Linked DNA regions of Caenorhabditis elegans. Changing the gene in region 1 together with any one later gene gives a genetic interaction. Each region holds a gene or a part of one and is shown in the gene's direction. Other genes may lie near its edges.

Region 1 (4,862 bases):
AAATATTTCAAAAATATTACCACACAAAAATTCTAACTTTCCATCCATTTTTCTCTTTTTCTCGCTACCTTCTACGAAAATTGCTGAGTACTCCAAAATTTAAGATGTTCGGACGAATTGTTTCTCGTTTAACTGCACGGTTATTTCTAAAAAACGTATGGGAAGAGCATGGAGAACGGGCAGAACCGAAGGATGCACTCCGCGCCGTATTGCTCATCGTTCTGTTCGCGCTCACGTTTGCAGCCGGAATGGTGAGCCAAAACTTTTTTTTGTCATGTTCGCATGTGATGTGATCACATTTCATTTTGAAAATTTCGTCAACTTTCAGATAGCCACGTTTCTAAAAGGAGAATGGGCGCGGAGCCATATTCTCTCGTTCATCTCGTGCATCGGTGGTGGAGTTTTTCTAGGCGCCTGCCTTCTTGATTTGCTTCCAGGTGAGAAGTGGAAAATTTTGCAAAAAAAAAAAAACATCAGAGAAATGCTATTTTAGTCCAAATTTTGAAGAATATTCGCCAAAAATCCCATTTTGGCAATACACTCGCTAAAATGTAGTAGAAAACCTGAAACATTTTGCAGACTCAATAGAATCCTTCGAGAAGACCAAGATTGCAACGGAGTTCCCAGTTCCGTTGGCATTTGTAGCAGTCGGATTTCTATTGGTTCTCACAATTGATCAGGTTGTCAAAGCGGCGAAAGACCGAAATGTATTCGGACATGTTGGATACCATATTCATAGTCATAATCATGAGCATCAAAGATCTGAAGATGGTGAATCACAAGAAGAAGGAGACGAAGCTGCCGCCCAATCGAGTATTGGAGTTGCCATGCTAGTATTGGCACTCTCTGTTCATGCTCTGTTCGAGGGACTCTCGTTAGCTGTCACGTCAGATGCTTCTCAGTTGCTTCAGGTTCTGCCGGCTACCTTAAAACTACTATTTTCTTCATTTTTAAAATTAAAATTAGAATTTAAAACAAAAAATGTTTTTTTTTTTTAATTTATTTTGCAGATCTTCGGAGCGCTAATACTTCACAAATGCATAATGGGCTTCTGCCTTGGAGTTCGTCTAGTTCAAGCAAATCTAACAACTCCATGGATTGCACTTGCACAATTCCTTTTTAGTGTTCAAGTATTGATTGGTGGTCTAGCTGGAATTGGAATCATGAAATTTATCAGTGGAGGAGAACAATCATTTGCTGCAATTGTCTCATCAATTCTACAAGCAATTGCCTGTGGAACATTCTTGTATATTACTACTTTTGAAGTGATTCCACATGAATTGCATAATGGAAAATATCGAATTCTCAAGATGTTCTTCATTTATATGGGATTTGCAATCGTTGTCGCTTTTATCTTGATTTTCCCCGAAGCTTCTTAGGACATTTGTATTTCTTTTTCTCCAGGAATTCGATTAATTTTTGACATTTTGTAGCATTTTCTCTGCTTTAGTTTTTTTTTCCTAATTCTGTGCAATTTTACTCGATTTTTGTGTACATTCTGTGTCCCATCTTTTCGCTATCACACATTTTCTTGTACTTTCTCATCCCGGGTTCCAGCTCGCCATAGACCTGTGTATTTCATTCATTTTCCCAATTCCATTACTTAATATTTGACATTCCCGACGGCTTTAAAGCTCCCATTTGTTGTACCAAACCCACAATCCTAAGACTCACAGAGCTCATGTTTTTCTAATTTCAAAAATTGAATAACTATTATCTTTAACTTTTAGCCGTTTTTTCCAAATTTTATTTTAAGCACTAGACGCTCTCGTTGTTGTGATGCCTTTTTCTTTTAAAATTTTCTCAAAGTAACTGATATTTCAGACAGATGCAGCCGGACGCACTATGATAGTCCTTCTCTCCCTTCTGACAGTTTTTCTCATTTTTCTGAGGTAAATTTCTAGGCTACAAGTTTTTGGGTTTTGAACTTTAAAAAAAACGTACATTTCAGATTTTTTTTTTGTGTTTTCAAAAGAAAACTATGAAAAAAAGTTCATTTCTCTTGAAAAGTAAAAGGAAAAAAGAAATCTGTAAATTTTTTTGAGAATCTAAAAAAAAGAAATTTATGGCTGCAACATTAGTTTAAAATAACAAACTTCCAGCTACATCGATGTGATTCTATCGTGGATCTTCTCATTCGTTACAAAATCTCATGTTCGCATCGGAGGTGTGGGATTCGTTCAGTTGCGTGACGTCACCATCAAAATCTCGTGGCTCTCCATTCACATTGACGTAATCTCGTTGTCGAGGGATCGAGCTCATCCGACACGCTTTTGTGTTTTGCGGTTCGATGATGTGAGGATCGAGGCCGAGAAGAATGTACAGTGGTATGGAAAAGTGGAAGAGGTGGAAGATCCGTCGAAAATGATCAAATTAAACATCTGGACGTCTCGATTCACTCGAATCGCTCAGTACTGTGGTCTTGTGGTGAATCGTGTACATATTGTAGTAATGAATACGATACCGGATTGCCTGTTGCACGTGACAATCGACGAGTTGTCGCTTGAAACGTTCCGGAGCAGAGAAGGATGGCAATTCGAGACGTCTTGCTCACTAATACAGGCGAAGCTTTTGAGACGAGGAAGGAACAGTGGGAGCTTGCTCGCGGAGCTGTCAATGCCGTTTCAACTCTCTTTAGATATCGATAAGGATGTTGTGGATAACGTGGCCTTGAGGATTTCGTCACCGGCGATCGCGTTCAGTGATGACTTTTTTGAAGTTTTTAGCAGTTGGACTGGATACACGGAAAGAAGTGGCTCTGCAGAACTCAAAACTCCCCTGAAACTACTCCAAATGACCGTGGTCATCCACTCGTTCTCCATCAAATATACCACGAATAACCGCTACATCACGGCTGGTATAAAGCAAATCCAATTTACTAGAAACCTGGAAACCAGCATACTAGTGATTTCCGAGCTGAACATCGCAGATCAGCTGCTCAGAAGTGAGCTTAAACTTACCATGATAAAGTTTGAGACGGCTGTGAAGACGCTTCACTGCTCTGTGGAAGGAGTTCATGCTAAACTAGCGTTCCATGATGTTCAGTGGTGGAATAAGAGTCTTAAAGAGCTCCAAAGAATCAGTGGACATCAAGGATCTTCAGGAGGATCGAGAGGATCAGATTATCAAATCTTTCTTGAATTCTGTGATTTGTCGGCCGAAATTGTCGACTTTGAATCCCACCGATCGTGGTTTAAGCTAGGCTTTCTCACGTTTGAAAAGTCGAATGAAACGTCTACTCAATTTGAACTTGGAATCGAGATGCTTTTCTTCGGATCACAAGACGATCCTGAATCCCTACAACAATTCGAATACCATGAATGGGGGGAAACTCTATTTATTGGAGCATTTATAGCGCAATGGAAGAAACTTTCGAAGAAGAATTTGTTAGATATTACTGTGGGATGTGATGATGTGAAGTTCGAATGGTCCGATCAATTGGCTCGACAAATTGAAGGGGTTATTCATGGAATTCTTGGAGCCGAGCATTCTGCTAATGGGGAAGAAGCTGGGAATTTGTGCCTTGCGGTTCAAGTGTCGGCTAATAGGTAAAGAAAAAAATCCTGGCCCAAGAATATTTTCAAAATACCGCGAAAGACATTCTCTTCGGAGCGCGCCGTGGATTTTTCGGTGTTTTTGAGTGAAAATCAAAAAATCAAAAAATTTTCGATTTTTCGATTTTCTGGAAAATCAAAAAAAAATGTTCATGTTCAGAAAATTAACCATAAAATATGATTTTTAAAAATCTAATTTTGTTTATATTGATGAGAAAAAATATAAAATTTTTTTCTAAAAAGAAGAAGAATTATTATATAATGGCCAAAATTATTAGCAAATTTTGAAAAATCGAAAAAACAAAACAATTTCGATTTTACACCTTTGATCAGGAGCCAAATTGAAGCCATTTCAAAATATTTACCCGATCTTTAAAGTTGGAGGGAGACTTTTTTCAATAACAAAGAAAGTAATTACAGACTAGCCGTACTAGTGAACGCCACGAACAAATCCTACGCGGCACTATGTGCTTCCAAACTCGAATTTATTACCGATAACTGGCAAAAAGATGGCCTTCTCAAAATGGAGATGATGCGTGGCGCGACCGGAATTCGAGAAGATACTGAAGATCATGTTCTTCTCGCGGATATTTTCGAATCGCAGCGAGTAGTTGAAGAAGCAGCCGAAATTCACAGTTCACCAACTCGGAGATGGAGCCATTTGGAGAGAGAACGAGTATATAAAGAGGAACGAGAGAAACGAGCTAATCAATTTGAATTCAAATTCAAACAGTTCATTACGGTGAACACTTTGGAGTTTCTCATTGATAAACAATCATCGGTTATCGATAAAATATCAGTTTTCACATCGAGCGAGGTCTTCTTGGCGTGGTCTCCACAGCTTCATCTCATTGTTTTTGACGCTTATAAGTCTGTCAAAAAGTGAGAGTTTTATCAGGAATATGGGAGAAAATCATTTTTAGCGGTTTTTTGAAAATTAAAACTTAATTGAAAAAAACTACCGAATGCCAGAGGCTAGTCAGCAAATTTAAATTTAAAACACTTCTTTTGCTCAGAAAATTTGAATTTCCCGCCAAAATTTTTTGCCAGATAGATTTTATGAAAAATTGACATGATTTTTAAAAATTCTGAATTTTTTTTACCTTTCAAGAAAAAACAACAAAATCCTCTTGGTAAACATAATTTTCTAAATTTAAGGTAAAACAGTATAAATTAGTTTTTTAATTTGACATTTTAATATTCAATAAAATTCCTTTTTTGCAGAACCGTTCAACTCCTATCATTTCCGAATCCGTCAACTTTAACACGAAAAGTGCCTCGAAAAAAGCACATAATTCTGACCGCCGA
Region 2 (5,000 bases), on another chromosome or scaffold:
TCAATCATTCTTCTTCCGAAATTCATTATTCATTATAAGTTTCATCCTTTTCAATCTTGAGGTTACGTCGTTCGGGATCTCAAGCTATTGTTTACGAAGAAGTAGAGTAGACCCATCCCGAGTTTTTGTTTGTCTAAGATCTCTGAGTTTCTTGATTGAAAAATTGAGTTCCTCAAAGTTTCCCTTTTATTGCTCTGAAGGCATGAGCTAAAATACATCCTGAAGTTGAAATCGAACATTTATACTAGGTTTTCAGATTTTCTCACAATTATTTTTTGATTAGTAAAAAAAACTAAGCATAAACTTCACGGTTGTATGATCTCCCTAGTTGAAGCAATCATACTGTACATGAGAAACCTTCTTTAATTTAGTTTGAAAAAAAACTCCTATATCAAAATGGCAGATTCGAAGCCCAAAGTTTTTAAATAAGGAGGTAGGATATTCCCAATTTAATGCTCAAAGTTTCAAAATTTGGAGCTCAACACTTTTAGATCACATTCACTTATAAAGCTTGAATATTAAATGTACAATTCTAATAATTTATTAGTTCAAGCTTATCTTTGATCCTCTCCGGTGATTAAAAGTTGGTTGCCGGTCGAAACTTAAAAATAATCTCTCTTCCAAAAAAAATTGCACAGTCTAAACTTTTTAATCTTCGTGTTTTGGTTGTTGCGTCTATCCATCCCAGAAAAGATGTGTTTATTCCACTATTTGCACATGCAAAGAAGAATGAGACCGTAACCCCATTAAGCAGTGTAGTCCGTGGAATCCCCCCACATCTACTATTACTACTCAATCTCAAGTGTTTTGAACGGAACCGAACGGAAATGCATGAAGAAAATTTTGAGGCGTGGAGAGAGTTTGGTGCGTGATCCTCGTAGTTTTTGCAACTGAGTTTTGCATGTGTTTTGTTAGTTTAAAAGGTTCAAAAAGAGAAAGATGGTCGGAAAGTGTAAGGGTCAAACAATTCAGTTATATGTACTTGCATCTGTAGGCGTGTGCACTTCGAAAACTTTTATGCTCTAGGCATTATGTTTGAAGATTCAGAACATTTTTTCATCTCAAAATAATTTGACCTAAAATTAATTTTTCTAATGATTTTTTATATGTATCACTAACAATCTGTGACAAATCTACAAAGCCTAATTTAGTGTGAGCTGCCCACTCACAGGTTCTTGATTTTGAACAGCTCATTGGATTAATGAACAAGCTAGTTTTAATGAACTGTAAAAACGATAGAACTGTGTTCTGAAAACTGAGATTAATCTATGTAGATTAAACTCTAGATCGATAGAATTCAAACAAGATCTTTGAATTGTTTTAGGCTTCCAAGATCTTCTGGATGTTTATCGAATGAAAAATTTAATCTTTACTTTGATGCAGAAACGGTAATCAAAGAACCCGGGAAGGCGTTAGATACCATTTTCCGCCTTATTGCTTCACCCTGGCAGCTACTCTTACGGTTCATATCTCGTATTTTTTGTACGTTTCAAATCATGCTCAACAATATGATTATGTGGTTTGATTGGACTCGCAGTTCAAGCCCAGCTCTTGTCCTTATCGGCTCTCGCCCTTATAAAATCTAAAGAAAAGGCGTGTGAAAGACACCTCTATAACGCCTCGACCGGGTAATAATTTGTATAAGAATATTTAAAGACAAAAACGTATGCCTGTCAGATTTTAGTTATCATATCTAGGTCAATTTGCTCTTTGTACTTTTATTTTCATAGACACAGCATACGCACTTACCCATCAAATACCTTATCTCTGCTATTGGAATAATCAGATTCCATTTTTCAACTTTTATCCAATTACAGTTCCATCACCTTTTCGGTAGGTATCACACTCCCATTTACATATATCGTTTTTTAAGTTCTATCTTTTTCTCTCTCCCGTTTCCTTTCGCCGCGTGTTTTTCTAATTGATAGTCATCTTTCTTCTTCGAAAGTGCAATTTGACAGGAAAAAGTGCAGACTTGTTGAAAATTGAATTTTGCAGGAATGTCTACGAGGAGCCGGGGCTCCTGCTCCTCACCATGGTTCATCACCCCGTTGGTGCTACTAGCCCTGTGCAGAGGTATTGGTTTGAAAATATTACATAATACGGGTTTAATACGGGGATAAAAAATTTCTAATTTGGGTCAAGCTTAGCTAAAAACTTGCCAAAAAATCTTGAGCAAAAAGCTACGCTAAGAGCACATTGAACACTAGTATCTGACATTTGGGGATTTAATTCACAGTAAGTGATGCAGATCCAAAAATTAGAACTAGATAACCAACAAATTTTACCAAAAGCTTCATGAACTCGACGTTTTGTTTCAAAATCTTTTACCTTTGATCTACAGCCCACCTAGTAAAACACCATGAAAGCAAACTCATAAAACTGAAACCATATGGCTTCACCTATGGATTTTTACAAATGTGTCATTCAACCGTTTTCTTGATCTTCCGTTTTTACAAGTAGTTGTACCCACTACTTCATCTTCCATCTCACTTTTTCGGTTACTTTTTGGGGCGAGAGCGGAGGTGCCCCGGTGCCGCCTGTATCCAGCCTGCCAAGGTCATCACTGACCCATTTATGACGGCGGGAAACAACATGTTTGATGATTGGAATTGCGGTGGTCTTGTGTGTTGTTGGTTAAGAAAAATGACATGACATGAACAATTGGTATTTGGGAACAGATAGATTAAATGTTGGGAACTTTTACGCAAGCTTTGACACTTCAAAGACTGCCCATGATTCACATTTTACCTAGAGTTAAAAAACATCCAACTTGCTCAGATATAAAATAGAAAACAGTTTCAGTAAAGTTGTTTTTTTTTTCAGGGAGTCATCAAATCGCTAAAAACTTTGTGAACTCATCAACTCCAGATCTTCGACCCACATTTGTTGTAAATTTCGATACATCAACAGTTATTTGTCAGCACAGGTGAGCATTTAGTTATTGAAATTCTTAAACTGATTAAACTAGCAAGTTATATGGATGTGAACATCCAAACTAGATTGTCTGGAAAATTTAAGAGATATCTTGTTTATCAATTCTTTGTTTTCCAAATTTCTAAGTTAAAATTTCTCTTGAATTCTGACAGTAGTGCCCAAAAACAGCCAATTAAAAGAAAACCAAATGGGTCATCAGGCAAGAAAACAGGCGTATCAAAAGAGTGACACAGAGGTGTCATAAACTTTTTTTTGGAACACCGAAGAGTTGTTAACCTTGAGAGAATAGCAACACAAAAAATCAATTTCATGGATGATTGAAAAGAACAAAGTGTCAAATGGGTGGGAGAATATCGAGCAAAGTTGCAAAATTTGAATTTAGAATGATTTTGTGACCTCGAAAAAAGACCAAACTTTGTGGGATCAAGGAGAGAAAAAGGACAAAAAACTGGTTTAAAATTTTGAATTTTCAGCTCCGATCCAACAGACCTGCATATTCATAACATGAGCTCTTTATGCGATGGAAAACAAGATTGTTTTGTGAATCCTGCTATGCACGATGAAGTTTTCCCTTATTGTGGTTAGCCTTTTTTTTTTCAAAGTGCAGGTTTCCAATCAATTTTCTTTCAGAACACAAATGCCAGTCAACATGTAGTGGGAAAGGAGCGTGTCTCTACGATGGAGCCAAACCTCAATGCTATTGTGATTCCGGATTCTCTGGTTCAGCTTGTGAGCTTCAAGATAAGAATGAATGTTTGGAGCATCCTTGCCATATGATGGCTCAATGTCAAAACACGTTGGGATCCTATGAGTGTCGGTGTCTGCCAGGATATGAAGGAAATGGACACGAATGTACTGATATTGATGAATGCTCAGATAAACTTACATCTAGATGCCCAGAACATTCTAAATGTATCAACCTGCCTGGAACTTACTACTGTAATTGCACACAAGGGTTCACACCAAAAGTAGGCTTTTGCCATAATTATCACAAACATAAGAATCTATTTTTAATCTAAAAATTCGAAAAACAAGTACTTGAAAACTTGAGAAATGAGACTTGGAATTCTTCCACTTTAGTCATGCCATATATGTATATATATATATATAAATTCAATTTCATGGATGATTGAAGAGAACAAAGTGTCAAATGGGTGGGAAAGTATCGAGCAAAGTTACAAAATTTGAATTTAGAATGATTTTGTGACTTCGAAAAAAGACCAAACTTTGTGGGATCAAAAAGTATAAAATCCTAATTTCCAGGGAAACCAGGGATCTGGTCTTGACAAATGCGCAGATATCAACGAATGTGAGACTGGAGCCCATAACTGCGACGCAGACGAAATCTGCGAAAACTCAATTGGATCATTCAAATGTGTCAATAAATGCTCTCCCGGGTATGAGCTAATTGATGGAAAGTGTGAAGATGTAAATGAATGTGGATCTGAGAAACTTCATAAATGCGATGTACGTGCTGATTGTGTCAATACTATTGGTGGATATGAATGTGAATGCGAGGAAGGTTTTGAAGGAGATGGAAAGAATTGTCAACGTAAGTGTGGGCATTCCGTCAAACTACCCTGTAAATTTTGAAATATTTTGGTTGTACATTCGTCGCACATTCTTGCACTTCTAGCAACTTTTTAATTTTTGCGAGAACGTGAGGGTAAATACGAAATAAATTTCAGAAAGCTAAGACAAAGAATGAAAAATTATGCGTTTTAACAGCACTGATTTACCTAAATATATAATTTCCACCATTTCAGCAAAATCGTCTTGCCGTAAAAACTCTGCAATCTGTGATAGACACGCATCTTGTCACATTGTCCTAGACATCTGTGACTGTAAAACTGGATACACAGGAGATGGAATCACATGTCACGATATTAATGAATGTGATGCCAAAGATACACCATGCTCAGATGGCGGAAGATGCTTGAATTTGGACGGAGGATACGTTTGTTGCAAAAATGGACAAGATGACGCCACATGTATTAAAGGTGAGTTACATTTTGCCCAAATTACTTTAAGTAAGCTCATAAGTTTCAGACCAGGGAGCATTT

What was found. A genetic interaction does not mean that the proteins touch.
Region 2: of bltp-2 (region 1) and fbn-1, changing one enhances a phenotype caused by changing the other (phenotypic enhancement), as found in Caenorhabditis elegans (one study listed by BioGRID).

The regions. Positions count from the first base shown.
Region 1 is NC_003279.8:15,047,663-15,052,524, reverse strand, and holds the start of bltp-2 (FMP27/BLTP2/Hobbit GFWDK motif-containing RBG unit domain-containing protein), read left to right. Parts: upstream 1-1,824; 5' UTR 1,825-1,845; coding exon 1,846-1,892; intron 1,893-2,102; coding exon 2,103-3,548; intron 3,549-3,974; coding exon 3,975-4,436; intron 4,437-4,778; coding exon 4,779-4,862. Other genes in the region: zipt-1 (Zrt (ZRT), Irt- (IRT-) like Protein Transporter), read left to right, coding at 105-251, 329-437, 580-911, 1,011-1,379.
Region 2 is NC_003281.10:7,623,386-7,628,385, forward strand, and holds the start of fbn-1 (EGF-like domain-containing protein), read left to right. Parts: upstream 1-2,000; coding exon 2,001-2,076; intron 2,077-2,556; exon of another isoform or gene 2,557-2,608; intron 2,609-2,826; coding exon 2,827-2,929; intron 2,930-3,410; coding exon 3,411-3,517; intron 3,518-3,567; coding exon 3,568-3,905; intron 3,906-4,200; coding exon 4,201-4,489; intron 4,490-4,703; coding exon 4,704-4,937; intron 4,938-4,986; coding exon 4,987-5,000.